Drosophila melanogaster: one gene and its partners. Changing the gene in region 3 together with the main gene of any one other region gives a genetic interaction. Each region holds a gene or a part of one and is shown on either strand. Other genes may lie near its edges.

What was found.
Region 1: of CCT4 (region 3) and CycE, changing one suppresses a phenotype caused by changing the other (phenotypic suppression), as found in Drosophila melanogaster (one study listed by BioGRID).
Region 2: of CCT4 (region 3) and Rheb, changing one enhances a phenotype caused by changing the other (phenotypic enhancement), as found in Drosophila melanogaster (one study listed by BioGRID).

Annotation. Positions count from the first base shown.
Region 1 is NT_033779.5:15,741,859-15,748,594, forward strand, and holds the start of CycE (cyclin E), read right to left. Parts: upstream 4,753-6,736; 5' UTR 4,626-4,752; coding exon 4,597-4,625; exon of another isoform or gene 4,399-4,596; intron 3,786-4,398; exon of another isoform or gene 3,534-3,785; intron 1-3,533. UniProt on the Drosophila melanogaster protein: Essential for the control of the cell cycle at the G1/S (start) transition. Targeted by archipelago for degradation by the SFC ubiquitin ligase complex.
Region 2 is NT_033777.3:5,566,990-5,572,743, reverse strand, and holds Rheb (Ras homolog enriched in brain), read right to left. Parts: upstream 3,824-5,754; 5' UTR 3,705-3,823; exon of another isoform or gene 3,539-3,704; 5' UTR 3,522-3,538; coding exon 3,473-3,521; intron 3,345-3,472; coding exon 3,273-3,344; intron 3,170-3,272; coding exon 2,962-3,169; intron 2,903-2,961; coding exon 2,773-2,902; intron 2,717-2,772; coding exon 2,627-2,716; 3' UTR 2,253-2,626; downstream 1-2,252. Other genes in the region: CG2931 (uncharacterized protein), read left to right, coding at 4,223-5,131; CG12746 (uncharacterized protein), read right to left, coding at 5,384-5,754. UniProt on the Drosophila melanogaster protein: Binds GTP and exhibits intrinsic GTPase activity. Activates the protein kinase activity of TORC1, and thereby plays a role in the regulation of apoptosis. Stimulates the phosphorylation of S6K through activation of TORC1 signaling.
Region 3 is NT_033779.5:12,686,332-12,694,686, forward strand, and holds CCT4 (chaperonin containing TCP1 subunit 4), read right to left. Parts: upstream 6,604-8,355; 5' UTR 6,492-6,603; coding exon 6,386-6,491; intron 5,887-6,385; coding exon 5,234-5,886; intron 5,172-5,233; coding exon 5,032-5,171; intron 4,973-5,031; coding exon 4,288-4,972; intron 4,225-4,287; coding exon 4,207-4,224; 3' UTR 4,005-4,206; downstream 1-4,004. Other genes in the region: CG6153 (uncharacterized protein), read left to right, coding at 6,752-7,071, 7,135-7,325, 7,389-7,513; IFT43 (intraflagellar transport 43), read right to left, coding at 7,656-7,917, 7,973-8,095, 8,163-8,186, 8,243-8,355.

The DNA.
Region 1 (6,736 bases), 3.1 Mb from region 3:
AGTGGCAGCTGTTGAAGATCCTACCCCAACTAAAAGGATTCTGGCAATGTCTCTGCTGTTGCTTTTGTAACTTCAATTGACTTCCCCCTCGCTAATTGTATCCTGTCGCGTTTCCTTTTCCCCTAGCCCTACCCCTCCCTCCCCTCCTCGCTTCCTTTCTTCCTTCATTTATTTTCCTTTTTCCGTGTGACATATGGGCCTGGCGTTATATTCGCCACGATTTATGGACCTCCCTTCGGCCTACCATTCAGTTCGACACCTTTTTTTCCTACCCCATATGCGAATGCTTTTTAGCCAACGACTTTCTTTCCCCTACTTTCTTGTTCTTACGCAACGGATTGTCTATTTTCCTCACTTTTTGCCTCGCTTTTCTTTTGCGTTTTCCGGCCTTTTCTCATGCACAATATTTTGCTGTTTCCAACCATCATTTTCACACTAATTGCGGATATGCCTTCTAATTAATTGGGTTCCCTCTGCTTCCCCGAAGTCCTTTTAGAGCATTTTTGCTTTCTTAGTTTTCAACCCCCTAACTATTCTACTTACAACAAAGAAATTTCCTTACACAGAAAAATAAGTCTCTTTGGTCATTTAAGAATATGTTAAAAATCTTAAAACAATTAATAAGATCATCATTTAAATCGTAATCCCAATATAAAGATCTGGGTTTTGTAAATATTCGAGCTCAAAAAACATTATGAAACAATTTGTATCTTTAAGATACAGCAGAAACCTAAAAACGCAATAGAATAGACATTTATCTCTCAGTTGTAATCATGTTACACATCTAACATCATTTATAGTCGGATTAATGTAATCTTTTTTGTAAATCACAAAACGTCCTAAAATTAATATTCGTTAATAAGGATGCGATAATATCCTTTAGTTTTACAAAACAGTTGACAGCGGCTCTTGGCAAACAAATGACTGTATTATCGCTAGAGCAATCCAATTCTTGTCCAAATACCAGTGACTAAGATAGATTCCTACCTAATTGCAGGAACTGCCCACACGCAGGCTGCGGCTGCAACTTCCTCTAATGAAGATTAAGTGAAGAAGGCTGCGAGTTCGGGCGAAATCCGCGGCGACAGGTATACAAATATGAATAATGCCGCGGATCGAGCGGATAAACTCGGGGGTTTCCTTTGCGCACAGCGCCTAATTAAAGGTGTACGATGCATGAGTGAATCTGTTTACCTGGACGGGGTCCTTCAAGGTCATTTAACTGGAAAACCGAGTGTCGAAAATAAAGTCGACCGTATTTTTTTCCCTCATCTTCGGAATATTTGCTTTGTGCGGAAGATTTCCCACAAGGAAATGGGACCAAGTCTCGAGATACAATATGAAATGCAACTTGAGGCAATGCAAAGAAGAATGCGCAAAATGCGCAAAGAAGAGCGCAAAAAAAATTATATACAAATATGTATGTATCTCGAGTATATGCCAGACTATATACATATGTACATATGTAGAGGGAAAACAGGTCTCGAGTTATCCGGCGTCTTCAACTGTCTGGGCCTGCAATTTTTGTGCGTCCTTTTTGGGCTGCATTTTGGGCTCCTCTGCACATGCGGCGAGATACATTCCTGAGATACTCGAGATAAAAATGCACATGCATCTGGGCATTTGTGGCGTTGTCCATGCCAATGCCGCCTCCTCTCCATTGTTGTGGTTTGGCCACCACTCTTGCAATTAGTTGGAACTCGGTGGACCGAAAGTCTGCAGGAGTTGTGTAACAACATAGCTACATAATGCTGATAGGGTAAGAGGGTGAAGTTCATTAGGAAGATATTTTCTCAAATCGAAAGCCTAATCATATTTGCATAATATGAAACTATAAATAATACTACTAAAAGTTTAAACCAATACACGAAGATTGCTTTATAAGCATCATTGAATTGAACCCGATCTTTGATGCTTCCTTTTCATACTCATGAATGCGTTTAAATTCTAATGGTCAATTGGCCCAAGTTTGCTGTGTTGCTTCAGTCGCATATGCCCACCCTACCCAGAACTACAGGGTACTGCAAACGAGAACAGGAAAGTCGATCCTCGCCTGCGCGCATCAGTGTATCTGTGAGTCCGAGTATCTGAGTATCTGTGTGCCGGGTATCTAAAGAGCGCCGCCTGGGCAAAACGGCGTGTGAAAGTAAAGTCGGCCCAGCCGATGGAGGAGAACAAATCAAAGTTCTTGAATGGAGCGGCAGCGGCGGCGATGGCGACGGCGGCGTTCCAGTTCCAAGAATCGATGGCCTTGAAGTAGCCGTTAGGACATCGGGACGCGCTCAATTGACTATTTAGTTTATATTTAGCAGCGTCTAAAAGGATGCCCACAGCGAGTCAGCTAGCTCAAGTGGCCTGCGTCCTGTCTCTTCCCCGCTCCACAAATCGCCAGTCGGACGGACTATCCTTTGTTTGTCTGGGAATAACTGGAAACTGTTTATCATTGTTGTTTCTGCTCCTCATACATACGGCTTCACCTCATTCCGATTCCGAATCGGATTCTTCTGCCGCAGCGACAAAAATGTGTATGGACTATAAAAAAAAAATGCCCACATATACATACATATGTACATATGAACCATTTATTTAAGGAGTTACTATTCACAACTCATCCTTTTGGAGAACATGTAATATTTGTAAAACATTCCGCACTTGTAATTGAGAAATATTGTTGGTATTTTACTAGGAATTCGGGTTAATATGGCCAGTTGATATGTGTGGATTCCTATAACCATTTACGTATGTATGTACATATGATGAGAAAATATTCGAGATCAGTTTGGGTTCCCATCTCGTCTAGAAAATCCTTTGATGACATACCGCTTTCGAAGGTGGCAAGCACTTGGAGGATCATGAGCAGAATTGAAAGGTGTTGACTAGGATTTGAATAGATCATATAAGGAGTGTTTAGGTGGGTCAAACAAAAGAAAATGTTGGGAAAATATACAAAATTCACGACACTGAATCATCAAAAACTTGATGCTCTTACTTTTTTCAAAATCACTTCTAAGAAAAACAATTTATTTCCCCATGGTTTAAACTGGCCAAATCTAAACATAAGCGGCTGATTTTCGGCACGATCATGACATAATCGAAAAATTAAGTATACAAAAATCCACCCCATCAACAATACACCACCCACCCCCCACGCACACCCCCGCCGCGATCGCTCCAAAAGTTTAACGGCGCAAAAAGCGAACACGCAAACTAAAAAACGTCAAAAGAATGCAAAAAATAAAGAAGAAAGCAAAAATTGCGAAGAAAACAACAACAAAATGAATGTGGCAGGTAAATGGAAGCAGAGGAGAAGAGGAAAGAACGAAGATGGCGCGAAGCAAGGTGGAGACGAAGGGGAAGCGAAAGCAAAACGCCGAGAAATATCAATGAACTCCATTCTCCACTTGGCAGTCTATCTCGCTCACTCATTGGTTGGGAGCACGTACATAGAGTAACTACTCACAAAAATAAATATAACCACGATTTTACAATAATTAAAATACTATTATTAATTCTACATATGTAAACATACATACATATGTATGTACGTAGATTGTGGGTAAGGGCTAAATGCCACTACCAATCTTTTTCTTCGTGTACCAAAGATATTTGCGCCACTTTTGACATAATTCATTATTTTGTTCTTCACTCGTTTACTCCATTTTGCTTTGAACCTCTGCTTCGTGTTCGTCAAGTTTTCGAAAGGTCCGTCGACTGATCGGCGATTTTCCGAATTTTTTCGACGTCGCAGTCAAATGCTCTCTTTTTTTCCGTTTTAGAGCGCAGTACTAAAACGTTTTTGTTTGTTGTTGGTGTTGGGAAGGGGAAAATAACTTGACTCGCTGTTCTGATTGGAATAAAACGGAAGAGAGCGAGAGAAAGAGAGCTTACTCTCTCTCTTAGCGAGCGCATTTCTTCCAAGTTTGTGCTTGTGTGTGTGTCATTGGAGGAAGCGTATAAAAATGAAATGAGCATGGGAAAAGAATGGAGAAACGCAAAGTGGCGCGAATTAGGCGTTTGGGCTGGGGCAGTTTTGTTTTACCGCCCAAAATCTATGCGAATGGCGGGAAAAAGTGCAATTCGGGCGGGAGAAAGATTAGAAAGTTGGCCCAAACAGCAGGGTAAACCATAAGCTGCATCTCAAGCCTTCTATAGTAAGAAAAGCTGTAATAGTTCACTGAACTCCCGTTACGCATTAGAAACTCAGTGCACTTTTAGACGTGATTAGAAGCTTTCATTTATTTCATAGGATTTTCCAATTTGTTCCCATTGGATAACGGTTTAATTCTAATAGGACACTTTTCCTTATAGGGGGAACACTAAAACACTGTGTGGGGGAGACAATTTGTAGTTGGACACCCCGTCTCTTGCCAATCAGAAAGCAACGGTTAAATCCTACAGCGTGTCAATTTTCTTATAAGAGGATGTTGTATTTGTAGCAAAAAATGCAAAGACACGACGGCAAACGCAGCATTCTCTCCCGCTCTTTCCTTCACTGTTCCACACACACTTGTCACCGCACACGCGTCATAAATTTTATTCCACTCTGAATAACGTATTGCCTTTTATCCACTAAAACCATTGTGCAATTGGTTTTACCTTCTAGTAAGCGGAAAAATGCTTAACATAATATCCCCGGTGTTTTCACTTGTTTTTCTTAAAGGGAATTGAACAACGTTTTTCGAGAGTTTTTCGTCGTCGTCGTCGCCGGCCACGAAAAAACTTCACGAGCAGCGGAGCGGCGGCAGCAAAGTGATCGCTTTGGAACCGAAAAAAAAATTGGTGGAACTGGGTATCAAAAGCAGCGACGTCGACTGCGGCGAGTGTGCATGAGGAACGCGCCAAAACAGGCGGATCCGAAGCGCCAAAAAATGCAACAAACACAGGGGGCAACTTTGTTGTACTCTAGGGGAGGGACGGAGATGGGGCGAGCATCTCCAGCGCAAAGAACAGAGCGTGAGAAAGCGAGACGGGGCGATGAAGCCGCTGGTGGCAAGCTTGGCATTTTATTGAATGGAGTCTGCAATTGGAGTCCCCAGTCCCCAACAGGCTAGTCAGACTACAATTGGAGGTTCGACGTCCAGTCAGCTGGGTGGTCGAAAAACAGCTGACGAGGATGCCAGAAGGGCGGATTTAGTCGGATATATCGTGGTTATATATAAATACCTAAGATTTATTTCTATGTCATATGCCAATTTTAATTCAAATATGACCTTCAGAAAATAAATATTTAAATTTTAATATGAAACTATTTTTTTTAATATATTTTTAAAGCGCTCCAAAATCAATTCAAGGTTAAAATAAATTTATCTTGAAGGGTATTCATAAATCTTTAAAATTTTAATTATTTATTTATTCTTCAGAAGCCTGAAATTACATGGTTTAATATGCTTTTCTAGTAGTTTTTATGAACTGCAGCCAAATAACATATGACAAGATGACTGAGGTCGAACTAGGTGGTAACGCTGCTTTGAAACCAAACAAACCACTGCCACTTTGTTGTTTTCATCGATTAACATTCGAGCATTTTTGGCACCAACTTCGAGCGCTTATAAATCAGGTAAGCTAAATGAAAAACCATGCGTGCCTATAACCAATTGAAAGATCAAAACTCGCAGAATCTGATTTTTCACTAAAATCGAAAATCCCGTTCAATTCGGCCAAATTAGAATCGATTGAACTTGATGATTTCCCGCGCGCGGGAACCCGACGTCGGCGCGCGCTGCTGACAGCGATGACAGCTGCGCGCGCAAAGAGAAGGCGCGGAAGAGAGCGCGAGAGGGGCAGGGGAACAGAGAGAGAAAGAGGCAAAAACGTCGACGTCGCTGCTCACGTTTTTTTTCCATTACTTTTCGACTGCTACAATATCGATGGAGAAAACGGGGTCTAAAGGAAATGGCTTAAAAAGCAAGTTCACGAACTTTTGAACCCTGCACCTGCTGCAAATCGAATGGGCCAATTGGCCGGCATCACTCACCTGCTGTTGGGCAGGATTCGGGCAAATTCTCAGCGGGATTGCACACTGAAAAACACACGCGGACTGGAATGGTGATGAAAAAAATTGCACACACCGCCGCACACATACACACGCACGCCAGCCAGCAAGACAGTATAGCCTCCTTTTTGTCACCTTTTTCGACAGATTTATCGTGGTTCTGCGGTCTTTTTCACGGCTAGCTCAACCCCACGGCAGTCAAGGCCAATTCGATGCGATCCCCGCGATTTTTCAGCGACTCCAAAGTAACACAATGATCGCAAGTGGCACTGTGACGAGATCGAAATCGAGAGAGCGATGAAAGAGCAAAAAAAAAGGCCATAATCATCTGGCCACACGGCGCAAAGAGAGAGTCGGAGTTTAGTGGCAGCGGCGTTGCCACTACGGCCGATCGCGTTGCGGGATTTTTATTGGCGCGTTATTCAAATTTTGAAAAATAACTTCTATGTTAGCCTGACTTTTACTGCTCTGCATATTTAGTTCACTATTTTTCCGGGCTGATCATATCTGGAAATCGGGTATTTAAAATAATAAAAGATGTGCAACGTGCTTAATGTTAAATGGGGTTTTAGAAAAGAAATTGTATTATATAAATTTTGCTTTGATTGTTCGATTAACGGATATTAAATAATTGGATTTTCCGTTGGGAGCGTAATTTGAAACGCATATTTGATACGCTTATATTGTTTTTGTTTTATTGTTATATTCTTGTTTTTATCATGCGACTATCTAGTAATTAAATTC
Region 2 (5,754 bases), on a different chromosome or scaffold from region 3:
GCATGACGTGTTGGAGGATGGCTACATTTCATTAGTTCAATTGCGACTGGTAGCTCGGCAGTGGGATTGGATAAGTGAGCACTTTCCCCTTTTGGCGGCGCACATCCGAGCACAAAAACCCCATCTGCTTGGCTGCACTGATCTAGATCTAGACTATCTTTTAGCATGGCTACATGCATACGTATGTATGTACACACATATATGTAAATACGCGGAAGGAGTGTGTTTAAACATACATAATGCACACAAGTGGGCTCGCAGGTACATAATGCAATTAATGCAGCCGCATTAATGCGGGGAAAATGTGCTAAGCTCATTCGCTGTACGAATTTTGTGGGTCGCTAGTTCTCTTTAATTTGAAAAATGCAGTTGCCTCACTGGCACTTGCTGTGCCAATTAAGCACTCTAACGGGACTCCCAGGCCAGCTTGATGATAAATAAAAATACTATTAATTGCGGTCAGTTAAGGTCATCAAACTAGCGAGTTGTTGGTAAGGAAAATACATAAGTATAATTTCAATTTGTTACTCCATTTAGATTGTGTCTTTAAAGCCAAGGAGTAATGTGTTTTAATTTGCAAATAAGAGCTTCAACGATATTTACAATGTAGTATGGACTGATTTTTCATTTTGTGAGTTTAATCCCCTGATAGCACAATCGGCAGGTTTCACTTGTTTTGTGGGCTTGCTGCGGCTTTTATGGGCGCTATAAAATCGCGACATATCTTATCAGCCATGGGCCCATCCCCCAGATGGGCATAGCCTGGTTCTGTAGATCCACCACCACCACCAGGGGGTATGAATATTGATACGCGTGCAACACTTATCGCCAGTCAGCTAAATGAACCTGGAAATCAAACATATCTGCACATACATATGTAAGCTTTGGTAAGTACGTCAATAACATCTATTCCGTTGCCATCTGAAAGCTCCCATCTCTAATCCTGGCCAGACATCGCCGCCAAGTGCGAGTGCCGGTTTTTGCAGAGTCCAACGACTCGCTGACGTTCGTTTGTTATTAAATCGATAAAAGGCTGTGGCCCGTAAAGGAAGCAACAAGAAAAGCCAGTACCCACCCATTCGGATTCCGATTGGGATTCCGAGTCGGAATCGATGAATGTATGTGCATTGCACCTGATTAGCGGGTTGTAAGTGCAGTTGTACAAACATGCCTATCCACATACATATGTACATACAAATGTATAGAGATTGCTTACAAATCGTGAGTGGGAAATGCCGTCACAAAAAACTCGCGGTGTTGGAGATTCGAAATAACGGTCAAACATAATGATGTACATATGTATACCATTATGCGAGAGCAATAAAATTTGAAAATAGAACAAAAAACTGAGAAAATACCCACGCATTGCGCACAAGTATACACACACAGACCCAGCCAAAGTCAGCCAAAAAAACAATTGCAATACAGAAAATAGAGAAGAAAAACAAGCTCGCTTTCTTCTGCATGGGGAACATTCACATTTAATACGAATCGCTCGCTTTGGTAAATTACCGTTAAAAGGCAAAGATCTCACACGATTTAAATGCTGAACGAGTTTAATTTTAACGCACGCACAAGTTCGCTGTTTGAAAATCGGAAAACATTTAACTCTCGGTCCGATTGGAACTCGCGTTGTGGTGGATTTGCTATTTTCGTGGTGGGTTATGGCAGCTGACAGTTAACAGCACTGTTAGTCCGCGCAACGCTCTGTTAGCCGGCATTTTAGATTTAAGATAAGTAAGACAAGAAATATTTTTATTCATAATCGGTTTAATGCGAAATAATTTCTATGTCTTTTTTCTATAATCAGTCTTTAGAAATATTAAGCCAGCCAAATCTTAATTCAATCAAATTCGTCCGACCAATTGTGACATAAGAAATAGCGGTATTAAAATTTAAAGACCCCTTTTTTTGCTAACAGATGCAGATATTGCTAGAGTGGCCAGGTGAGTCTTTCAGTTTATCCAAATAGTAATTTGGTTTGAAATTACTCTTATTAAGAACCATACCGAGATCCTCCCAGTTCTTTTACTTGCTGAACCTTGGTCTCCAGAGAATTCACAACGGTTGGGAATCTATAGAAATCATTAAGGTATTGGTCCTATTTAATCAGTTATAGGGACGAGATAAAGTAAATCCAGCTTTTTGGAATTGCAACTGGCAGGTCTTCTCGACGCACTTGTAACTTTAGTAAATCAACCTCTATATTTTTCACAATCGAAAATGTTGACCATTAAAATACAATCTTGAATAGTATTTTGAAAAATTATATTTAAATTGAAACTAAAAGTTTGCAGAATTTGTATATGAAATTTGTAACTGAATTGTTGTTGTAAAAAAAACGTACTAACTTAAACCTGTTGTGTTGCGCCAGACGCGAACCACAAAACCTGCTGGGCAGCGTTTAGCGGACGCATTCAGATCGCTTGATATTGGTTACTTGCTGTGTGGTCTTAAGAATACTAGGTCTATTAGATTTTTAGATTTTCCTGCTGCGCACAAAGGGTACGGCCCCGCCATGCACGCTGACCCAACTGTGTAGATAAGAGATAATCGATTTTCGTATTGCCATAGCGATTTGCCGTATTTCCAACAGTTCGGCCGTAGTTTTAGCTACTCAGCCGCCCTACGATACAAGACAACCGCTCTTCTCCTGGGGATTGCCGTTCTCGTTTTCGATGAGGATCAGTAGCTGATGGAATATATCTCCCACGGACTGCGAAGGAAGTACCTTAGTTGCATTCAGCTAGTGTGATTCGTCTTGGTACTTGCCTCGTTCTGTTTGGCGGACGTTTCGAGAAATGCAGCTCGCCAGGACTCGGCCAGCTTCTTGCCTTCCTCCGTGGAAACGGTTCGTTCCTGGTGGAGATCGATCTTGTTGCCGACCAACACCACAGGTACACTGAAAGGCAAAAAAGATTAGCTTAGCTCTCAAGCGGAACCCACGGGGAAGAAGCCTACTATTTCTTGCCCATTACGTCGAGCAGTTTTTCGTATATGATCTTCACCACCTCAAAAGACTTTTGGCTGGTTATCGAGTACACCAGGACGTAGCCGTGGTAATCCATGCTGTACTGCACCGGGAATATGCTGTACTCGTCCTGGCCCGCCGTGTCGATGAGCTTTACGATGTAGTCTTGCGACTTTACACGCTCGATCTTGGTGAAGGCTGCGAATGGGAATTACCGATCATTACGCATTGCTACTGCTATCGAAGCATGGAGTCAGCCTGGCTTCTAAGAAATCCGCACGGAATGGGATGTGACACTTACTGTTCTCAATGGTGGGGTCATAGGAGTCCACGAACTGGCCCTCCACGAACTGTATGCATAGCGACGATTTGCCTGCGGGCGAAGCGTAATTATTATGGTCAATTGATCATAGTTCTTGCTGTTGTCGAAATACTACGCAATTACCAGTGCCAGCAGCAACAGTGTCAGTGCTTCTGGCGGAACTTTCTGGGAAAACTCACCCACTGATCGGTAGCCCATCATGGCTATGTGGCGCTCCTTGGTTGGCATTTTCCTGGGGCCCAGTGCTTTGAAATAAATGGAGAAATTTATTGGTTTTGTGATTTTCCACACTTTTGTTTTTGCTGTCGCCCCTCGACTTTTTGTGCGCTTGTGTGGGTATGCCCGTGCTCCTTCTTTAAATGTGTGTATGAGGAATATTGCTTCTGCGTTTATTTTGCTTGCTGAGGATACTTTCTATCACAGCTAGAGCTTTTCCGGCGATTTTAATTCCAGTATTATTTATCAGATCGTCTAAAAGAAAACAGTAATTCTGAAGTTGAATCAGTGCTGGTGTCGACGAAGCCGAAATACCACTCCTAGCCTACTAACATAAGGCATTTGCCAGCTAATGAGGAACCGTCACACTACACTATCGTCTACTAGTTTAACGGTCAACAATTGCAGAAAATATCAAGGCCCGTTCGGAAAGGTGCTTGTCGTAATCAAGTGTAAAAAGTCGCAGTTATTTTCTTAAATAGTTAAAACATATTAAATGTCTTCGTTTTATGATATTAAAATAACTGTTTTATTTGTTATATATTGCAAATAGAGCCTGATTCTGTGGACATGTCTAAACAGGCCTTTAAAATAAAAATAGTGCAATCGATTGGGAACGAAATCGATATTTGTTTAGTACTCCGAGTTTTCTGCAGCACTTTCGTAAAAACTTGCTTTGATTTGATTTTTTAAAAGAGAAAACCCCACTTCAAATGGGTACAAAGCGTCGCAACATCGAGGATGAGCTCTCACGCTTCGAGGCGGAGATCTCGAAGCCCCCCGCCCGCAATCTCTTCGTGCCCAACCAGGTGCGCCCGATCATAGCCGCCAATACGTACCAAAACTCGCAGCACAAGCTGCAGCATCACCAGGGCAATGGAGGATCGCGTCTGACCGTACCCCCGCCCCCGATGCCGCCTCCACCCACGTTTATGTCCACCTTCGTGCCTACGGGCAGTGGAGGTGGTTCTTCCAAGGCTATGTCTGCCACTCCCGTAGTCCTGAGCAGCGCCCCCAAACTTTATCAGTGCCGGCAGTCTGTGCACGTGCCCACCGTGGCCGCCGCGCCCTCCATCGACATCAACGCCGTCTCTTTTGACGTAACGCAGAAGCTGAAGAAGCTCAAGGCGGAAAAGTCTGGACCCAATCCCATTGCAGAGGAGGCCATTAAGGCAGCGCGCGCATCATCGGCGCTGCAATCCTTCCAGACAACAGAGCGGAAAAAGAAAGACCGCAAGACGGTGCGTATCGCTGGCGGCACCGTGTGGGAGGATACTTCGCTGGCTGACTGGCCCGACGATGACTTCCGCATCTTTTGTGGTGACTTGGGAAACGACGTCAACGACGAGGTCCTGACCCGGACCTTCAACAAGTTCCCCTCGTTTCAGCGGGCCCGTGTGGTGCGGGACAAGCGCACGGGCAAGAGCAAGGGATTTGGCTTCGTGAGCTTCAGAGAACCGGCCGACTTTATACGGGCCATGAAGGAGATGGACGGCCGCTATGTGGGCAGCCGGCCTATCAAACTGCGCAAGAGCACGTGGCGACAACGCAGTCTTGACGTAGTTAAGAAAAAGGAGCGCGAAAAACAGGTGCTTCTGCAGGCCTTCAATTCCATGACTTGAATCTGAGTGTGCATATCGTGTCCTTTAGGCTAGTTTCGGTCACTTTGATGTAGCAAATTAGATTTGGATGTTGCTGCTAAAGATGAGCAATAAATTTACGTTTAGCAATTGACGCGCTTAGTTTTTATTAACAAACCCTACCCATCCTATTACGAGGTAAACCAGCAGCACATTTTTAAATCAGAAATTGTCTAATATGTTTAAAAACCTTAAACGGGAAAGCAACACTCACAATAATATTACGTAAAGCTTTTAGTACCATTTGGACTCCTCCTTGTCAGCGAGCAGAGGTCTCCGCACCGCATCCCCACCATCGAGATGGTGGGGACCACGACTGCCATTGTCGTCCTTTCCAGACAGTCGCTGGTACTGGCTTCCCTCTCTGCTGGGCCACCTGACCAGTGGTATGCCGGCATCAGGGCAGAAGATGGAGGGATAGTATTGTGTGTAGCTTATATAGCCTGCAAACAGGCCAATCAGCCCGCCGATGGTCACATCCTGCCAGTGGTGGTGGTAGTCGCAGGTGCGACTAACTGCAACCAGCAGTGCGATAAACAGAGGTATCACAGCGATGCAGAGCCGCCAGGTGTGGCCGCGTCCCCGGCTATCAAAGGCGTGCAGCT
Region 3 (8,355 bases):
TGGGTGGAAACTGTAATCAAAGATAGATGCAGTTCAAGATATGCGGTCTATATATTAGAATCTTCTGCTTAGTTCCATTCCATTTCTATATTATTTTTTAAAAACATTTATTTTATTTTTATTTATCTTATTCAATGCACTAAAGAAAGGAGTTTCATTTAATTTGCCACCCATATTTACCAGCTGTATGTTTTTGAAAAGCCCTAGCTTATTATTCAATTAGCCAGCTCTTTAGGTTTACTCCAGCGTGTGCCATATAAAAACGCACTCGAATCTCATTAGGCAGAGCCTAAATAAATATTGAACGAGGTATTTAGTTAACTGATTTCCTTGGCCCGCCCCAAAAGCGTTTGCCAGCCACGCGACAAAGGCAAACAAGACCATTTTTTAATAAACTTCCTGGCAAACGCGGGCCAAAACAGCAAAAGGATGCGAAGGAAGGACCCAAACCAGCAACCCCTTTTTTTTTTATTTTTTTGGTTGCTTTGGTTGTCGAGTGTGGATTTGTTGGATAAGAAATCACTTCATCTTTTTGGGCCCGGCGACAGTCAATATGGCAGCGCAGACAGAACCCTTATTTGTATATCGAGGCAAGCGTGTAAATCCTTTTTTTACCAACCCCCAACTCCGATCCCTCGGCCCGGATTTTCCCCCTGCTGCCAAAAGTTTGCCGGGCTCTGATTCGTTTAGGGCACGAATCTCTAAAAAAATGATAGAGTTGGGGAAGTTGGCAAAGGGTTCATGCCATCAATTCACACATGGTTATGTCATATGCTCCTCGCCTCGGTGGTTGATTTTGGTCTTGTAGTATGGGTAGTATGGATATAGCTCCTGTGTTGTTTGCTGTTTTTTTTTTTTTGGACTACGATGTGGGCAGTGGAAGTATTTTATGTTGTCCCAGTTGTATCCTTTGGAAATCGCTTAAGCGAGTCAAGTCCTCGATGGAGATATCTTAATGGAAGTGTGCCAATAAATTAGGTAAATGATTGTGAAAAGGAGTGGAAAGGACACATGTGCTTAGCACTGGTTTTTTAGCATTTTTTTAAGCTGGATAAATATTATTGAGTAATATTTTCTATGCATTTAAGGAAAGCTTCAAAATATCCTGAATAAATATAGACATTTATACCTACATATGCCTGGTTTAAAATCAATCTGAATAGACACATATCCTTTTGCATTTTGATTTTTAGAGGCTACTTTAATTTTAATTTATGTATTTCACTTTGAGGCAACACATATTTATTTAAAACTTTTACTTGCCTGCAGCTGGCCAGAGTTGCGAATAAATTTTTAATCTGGCCAGAGGTGAAATCTCGACCAGAATCCTTACCCCATTTAATTTGCAGGCCATTCGCCCACACACACACACACACACTCTAGCACACATCAAACGGAGGCCAAAAGGAAAAGCCCATCGATTCCAGCACTCACACTTAATTGGCGGGCACTCGAATTTTGGGCAGCTCGGGGGCTTGGGACTCTTTGAATGTTATCAGTCCAGTGCAGACGACGTCCGTCCATTCCACATGGCCAAAATGTAAAGAAGAATGGCAGCGGACGCAATTTCGGTTTTCAATGGGGGGAAACTTCAATTGCATTGGTCATATTCAAAGTGCCCTAAGCCTGAACTGGTCCAAGTGGGTTGATAAGCCCCGTGGGCTATTATTTCGGGGGGATTACCCCGGTGGTTTCAGATCGTCCGGTCGAGATTTCATTTGGCTTTCATTTGATCGATTTGATTTCCTTTCCTTTCAACGAACGTTGAAATATTTGCTGCATTTGCAAATTGAATTTTCTCGCCGGAATATGTTTCATTCCTGTTTCGCCCGATTCATTTATAACAATTTAATGAAATTTTCGAATGCGTTTTCATAATATTGTCGTCGTCCTGACATCATTAATCACTCGCCACTTGGCAGGACTAACGAAAATTAAGTTTCCTTTATGCTTTTGCTTCAGCATTTCTATTCTTGATAAGCATTTCGGTCTTGCCTCCTTGAGTGGCATGAACTAGATGGAAGTATTTCGCTAAACTGAGCTGTTAAATGTTTGGACCATTAAATAAATACTTGAAGTCTAAGGACATAAGAAAAACTATTTTTTTTAAACAGAAAAAGTTTTTTCGTTTTATGAATAAGTAACACGAGATACAAATGATAAGAATAGGTACAAATTATGGAAGATAGATTAACATAATTCTTAGACCGATAAATACGCTATTGCACTTAGCAAACTATTTCTTTATATATTTGATTCATTTTATATCTTTTAGCATCCTTTGTTCCTATTCTATCTGCCAGATACTCGAGATCTAAGATATGACAGACACTGGTAATTTCGGTTGAAAGTGCTCGCAAATTATATGGCGAGCATATGTTAAATTTCTGCGTGACTGGCTGACAATTCGTTGCTTTGAATTTCAATTCGTTTGGCAAAAAGAAATGTAACAAGGACACACAGGACATACAGGACATACACACCCCTTTGCGCCCTTTTCGCCCGACTGGAGAACATAAGACTTGTGCAAACATTTGGGTAAAAAAAAACAACAGCAGCAAACGCGGGGAAAACACAATTGAATTACAATGAAAATATGAAATGAGCAAAAAGCAGATGAAGAAAATCGCACACAAAAATTAAGCAAACAGGCGAAACAAAGGAAAAGTGCCCGAAATAAAAAGTTTCAAAAGTGTGGGCCACTGGCTCTGCGAGCAAATAGCTCGGGAAAAAAGCGCAAATTCAATATTTGCTCAAAAAACAAATGGGAACGAGGACGTGAACGACAATGCCCCAAGACAGTCGAGCAAATAGCTAAAAAATATAAAAGTAGCGAAAATAAAATAAATAACTAAGAGGGGTGCTGCTCAAGTCGAATGAGTTGATACACTTCATTTTCTTAGGTGGATAAAATGCAAGCTTAAGATTGGTACTTGAAATACTTAAGAAAACATGTATTTTCTATTTAATGAGATTTTCAAAAATGTTGATTACAAAATTAAGTTTAAAGAAAATGATCTCATATTATCAAAAATGTATGTAGAATATGCTCATCTGAAAAGCGAGCACTGACTTTTCCACCCCCTGCAAGTCAAAATGGAAACCCAAATCAATGGCTGCTGCGCAAATAAACTTTAAAATGGAAAATTTGCATGCGTCTCCCGGAAAAGTGATAGAAAACCAACCCCTAAAACTTTTCAGCAGCCAATTAGCGGAATAGCTTTTATTGGACGGGCTAAAAAAAAAAATCAAAGCCAATCAGTGGCGTGATCCGAAATCAACACCATCTTGGCCATCACCTAGATGGGTGGTGGAAGATAGTGGGCTGGTGAACTCGATCCCTTTTGACATGTTTACACATTTAATTAACTTACACGCGCCGAAAGTTTCCGGACACGTTAGATAGTCCCCGTCTAATCACACCCAAGCGAAAACCCCACCCGCATGAACTTCCAAAATGGGGCTAAGAAAACAAAAGGATAAAGACCCTTTCGCAACCCAACCCCTAAGTCTTCCCTTTTTGACAATTTGAAACCAGTTCAAGTGGTTTAATCATTTAACGCACATCATAAAAATCGCATCAAGTGATTTTTATTTACACGCCCAGGACAAAAAGGATCCCCAAAACCTAAACGGAATACAATGATTGGGGCGGGGGTGCGAAATGGTTGGGGGTGAGCCATCCCTTTGAAACCCAAGGCGTTGGCTAAGAACAAGAAAAATGAACTCGCTCACTAGATAAGGTTTCGGTTAGTTGATAGACTTTTACGCTGTAATGAAATCTTAGAAATTCCATTTAAGAAGGAAATATATATGTATTACAAATAAGCTTAACCGCAAAAGGTATTAGCTTTTAATCTTAAGGAATATATAAGTCTTTATATAATGAGTACGAACTTCCTAAACATTTTTCCTTACTCCAATTTGTGATTAACTAATTTTATAGAACTATTTAACCTCAGAACAAGAGCACATATCAGTAATTAAATTCAAGTTTTCATGTAGGTTGTGTTAGCGAAGTATTTAATCATATAGTTTTATTTTTTAAATACATGTTAAGCTGGTGAGGCGTAGTGTATATGTGAATTTTATTCAAAATTTAATGCGCAACCGCATAATGGACATAAGATGTGAGACTTTAGATGAATTTGCGTGAAGATTGATCTTGATCAGAGGCAGACGACCGAAGAATGCGGATTACACTGCTTAACTGAAGGTGTTGACCTGTGAATAAATAAAAACATTCATTTAAATTTAAATCATTTCATTCATTTGTATAACACTTACAATATCGTCGATCTTCAAGATCGATCGAATCGTCTCCGTGGCCAGGGTGATCGACGAAATACTGACCAGCAGCGGCTGCACAACGTTCTCCGCGAAAATGTCTGTGATGGCGCCCTTGCGCACATTAATACCGGCGTTCTTCTCACCCTGAGCGTGGCGGTTGCGTAGCTCCGTGACCGTGGCAATGGGATTCAAACCGGCGTTCTCAGCCAGAGTGGAGGGAATCACCTCCAAAGCATCGGCAAATGCACGGAAGCAATACGCATCCACACCCTCCACGGTTTGTGCCAATGCGGCTAGCTGCAGGGCCATCTCAATCTCGGGCGCACCACCGCCGACAATCTGGGCGCGCAGCTTCACCAGGCAACGGACGACACAGAGGGCATCGTGCAGGGAGCGAGCAGCCTCCTCGAGCACCAGCTTGTTGGATCCGCGGCAGATGATCGAGACAGTGCGTCCCATGTTCTGAATGCCGGTGATCTTCACAAACTTGTTGGTACCACTGGCCACCTCCTCGACCAGATCGGCACTGGAAAGGTTCTCGGCTGTGAAGTGATCCAGCGAAGCGATCGGTCGGCAGTGCAGGGTCTTGCACACGAACTCAATATCCTCGCGCTCCACATCCTTAACGACCATGCACTTGATCTTGTCCAGGAAATGCTGAGCCAGATCAGAGACAGCATCGCTAGATAAGTGGAGAACTATCAGCACAAAGTGGACAAATAACAAGTAAGCTAAACCTACCGCAAGATAGACTTCTGAACGAGAAGAACATTGCATCCTGACTTCTTGATCTGCTTGACAATGTTCAGGATGTATGAACGCTCCTCCTTGAGCACACGATCCATGGCAGCGTAATCCGATACAATCACATTGTGATCCATCTGTAATTTCGGCATAAATTATAAAAGACAATAAATTGTTAGGATCATAGCGATGTACTCACATCGGTCTTGGGGGCCGAAATGCAGAACTGGATAAGACCGATCTTGGCCTTCTCAATGCGCTTGGGAGCGTTGGATCCGGCAGAGCGGCAGGTGAAGACCAATCCATCGACCAGCTCGGTGTCCTCAACAGTGCCACCCAGGCTGGAGATGACCTTGATGTTCTTGAGATCCACAGAGGTTTCCTTGCCGGGATCCGTAACCTTCAGCACGGCATCCACGGCAATGGGGGCCAGCAGGCTGCTCTGCTGCGACACCACCTTGGAGTTCAACGAGGTGGAGGCGCTCTTGATCAGCGTCTCGCGGTCGTCCAGCTCGATGGGAGTGGACATCTGTTTAAGAATCTCGACGGCCTTGTTCGAGCAGCGCTGGAACGAGTCCGAAATGGCCGTGGGATGCAGACCCTTCTGCAGCAACTTCTCGCACGCCTCAAGCAGAGCTCCGGCAATGACAACCACGGAGGTGGTGCCGTCACCAGCGGCCACATCCTGGGCACGCGACAGCTCCACCAGCATCTTGGCAGCCGGGTGCAGTACATTCATCTGCTTCAGGATGGTGGCGCCATCGTTGGTGATGGACACCTCGCCGTTGCCGGCCTGGATCATCTTGTCCATGCCGCGGGGGCCCAAACTGGTGCGGATAGCATCGGAAACGGCTGGAAAACAGAATTATTTCAATAGGTTATAAATGTATTTTAATATTTCGTTAAAACTTAATGAGAAACTCAGATAAGTGGAATTCGTGTGGTTAGTTTTACACAGCAGCATGACTAATTTACATACATACATACAAAAAGACATATGGTGTTTTATGTGTTAATTCAAAAAATCTACTGTAACTTATCTTAAGAGATAAACAATAAAATCCTTGTAGCGGATAAAAGGGTATTGGGAATAGAGTATTAAAAATCCTCAATTTTTAGGTTGTTTCAATTCATCACATGAGTAATGCGCGCTCTTCTTCTTCTTCCGCCCAAGAAGTTTCCAGACAGCCGGCATCCAACTGCTTTTTCAATAGGCCATTTGGCCGGAAATTCTGATGCACCACTGCTCGGAATTCAGTCACCTCGGTTCTTAGCTCAATAAATAGCACATACGCCAACATTTTGATACAAAAATGTGTTTAATTTTGTTAATTTCCTCGCTTTTTCTCACCTTTGGCCGCCTGGATGTTGGACAAACGCACATCGGTGGGCTTCGACTTGTCCTTGAAGGCCTTGGCCGTTGGCTTGATGTTGACAGCTGCTGCCTTGGGCGCCATTGTAGGGTTAAGTTATAGTTTTTTAACAAAACACAGTTATTCTACAATAAATTCACAGCGATTTACACAGAACACGTTGCTGCGAAATGTTAAGGAAAGTGTGGCCGCACTCGCTGAGCTCAAATATACCGCCAACTTATCGGCATCGATAACATCATCCCTTGTGAATGGCAAATTGGTGTGACCGTATTTTGCGTTGTGACTCGGCTGCTTTATTTACATTGAATTTTTGTTCGATTTTTGAATTTAAAATAAAAATAATGCCGCACGGACACTCTCACGATCACGGCGGCTGCAGCCACGAGGCCTCGGACGTGGACCACGCCCTAGAAATGGGCATCGAGTACAGCTTGTACACCAAAATCGATCTGGACAATGTGGAGTGCCTGAACGAGGAGACGGATGGCCAGGGAAAAAGTGTCTTTAAGCCGTACGAGAAGCGCCAGGATCTGTCCAAGTACGTGGAGAGCGATGCGGATGAAGAGCTCCTCTTCAACATTCCCTTCACCGGCAACATCAAGCTCAAGGGCATCATCATAAGTGGGGCCAATGATGACTCCCATCCAAACATGGTCAAAATGTAAGGAACAAAAGTCAAGGCTGCTTTAATATTACTATATTCATCATATATCTTATTTTTCAGCTTCAAGAACCGACCCAGGATGACCTTTGATGATGCCAGAGCAAAGCCCGACCAGGAGTTCCAGCTGACCCGCGATGCCCGCGGAGAAATCGAGTACTCACCCAAAGTGGTCACCTTCTCCTCCGTGCACCATCTCTCCCTCTACTTTCCCAGCAATTTTGGCGAAGACATAACACGCATTTACTATATAGGTAAGCTCACAACAATCTATGTTTTATCTGTGTTCCCAACTAAAACCAAGTCACTATTCAAAGGTCTTCGAGGAGAGTTCACAGAAGCTCATTACCATGGCGTAACCATATGCAACTACGAATCCCGTGCCAATGCAGCGGATCACAAGGAAAAGGCTTTCGATGGAGTCGGCAGAGCCATCCAATAGGGTTATAGAGATTAAAATTTACAATTTAATTGAGTATCTCTGTAGTGTATATATTTTGTGATCATTTAAGGCAAGAAATGTTTTTGTATTCGCTTAACTTATTGAGCATTTGTATTGCACAGATATTGTGGGCTAAATCATACTAAGTATATTGTGTGGGTGGAATCACATCGGGTCCTATTTTCATGCCCATATTGGGCACTTTATCCGAATGGATTTCAGCCGTGACCTCGGTGAACAGCTTGTCCCACTGCCAGAGATCGTCCTTCTCGTTGAGGCTCTCCTGTGGAACCAGGCAATCGGTGAGGATTGAGAGATCAAAGCCATCCACAGCTGAAAAGGCGTACTGGGAAAGCAAATCGGAATTGGCCTCCTTCAAAACAGCAGATCGTGAGGTGCCAATACTACAAATTACAACTTATTATCGTAGTGAAGAGAAATATAGCAGCTTCTGCTTACGTTGGCGGTTCTACAATCTCATTGAGCATGATTTCGTCCTTGACATCATCCATGTCTGGGATGACGGGAATGTCATCCGTTGGTATGGAATTTGTAGCCGACTTTGTTTGTTTAAAGCGCTCACTAAAATGAATTTTATCATTATAACAGTCGGTGGAAAGTGAAGTTATTGTGATAAACTTGTACTCACTCATCAAAGGAGTTTTTCTTGGACCTAAAAAGATATAGAGCAATCAGTAATGTGCCTAATTCGAGCCTAATCATACCCACTTTAATCCTTTGAGTCCAGAATCCGCCCAGCCACCTGAAATGCGACGAATGGGTGGTCGATGTGACTCGAATTCATTGTTGTATGTGGACGAGGTGGCCGTGTCCGAGGTGGT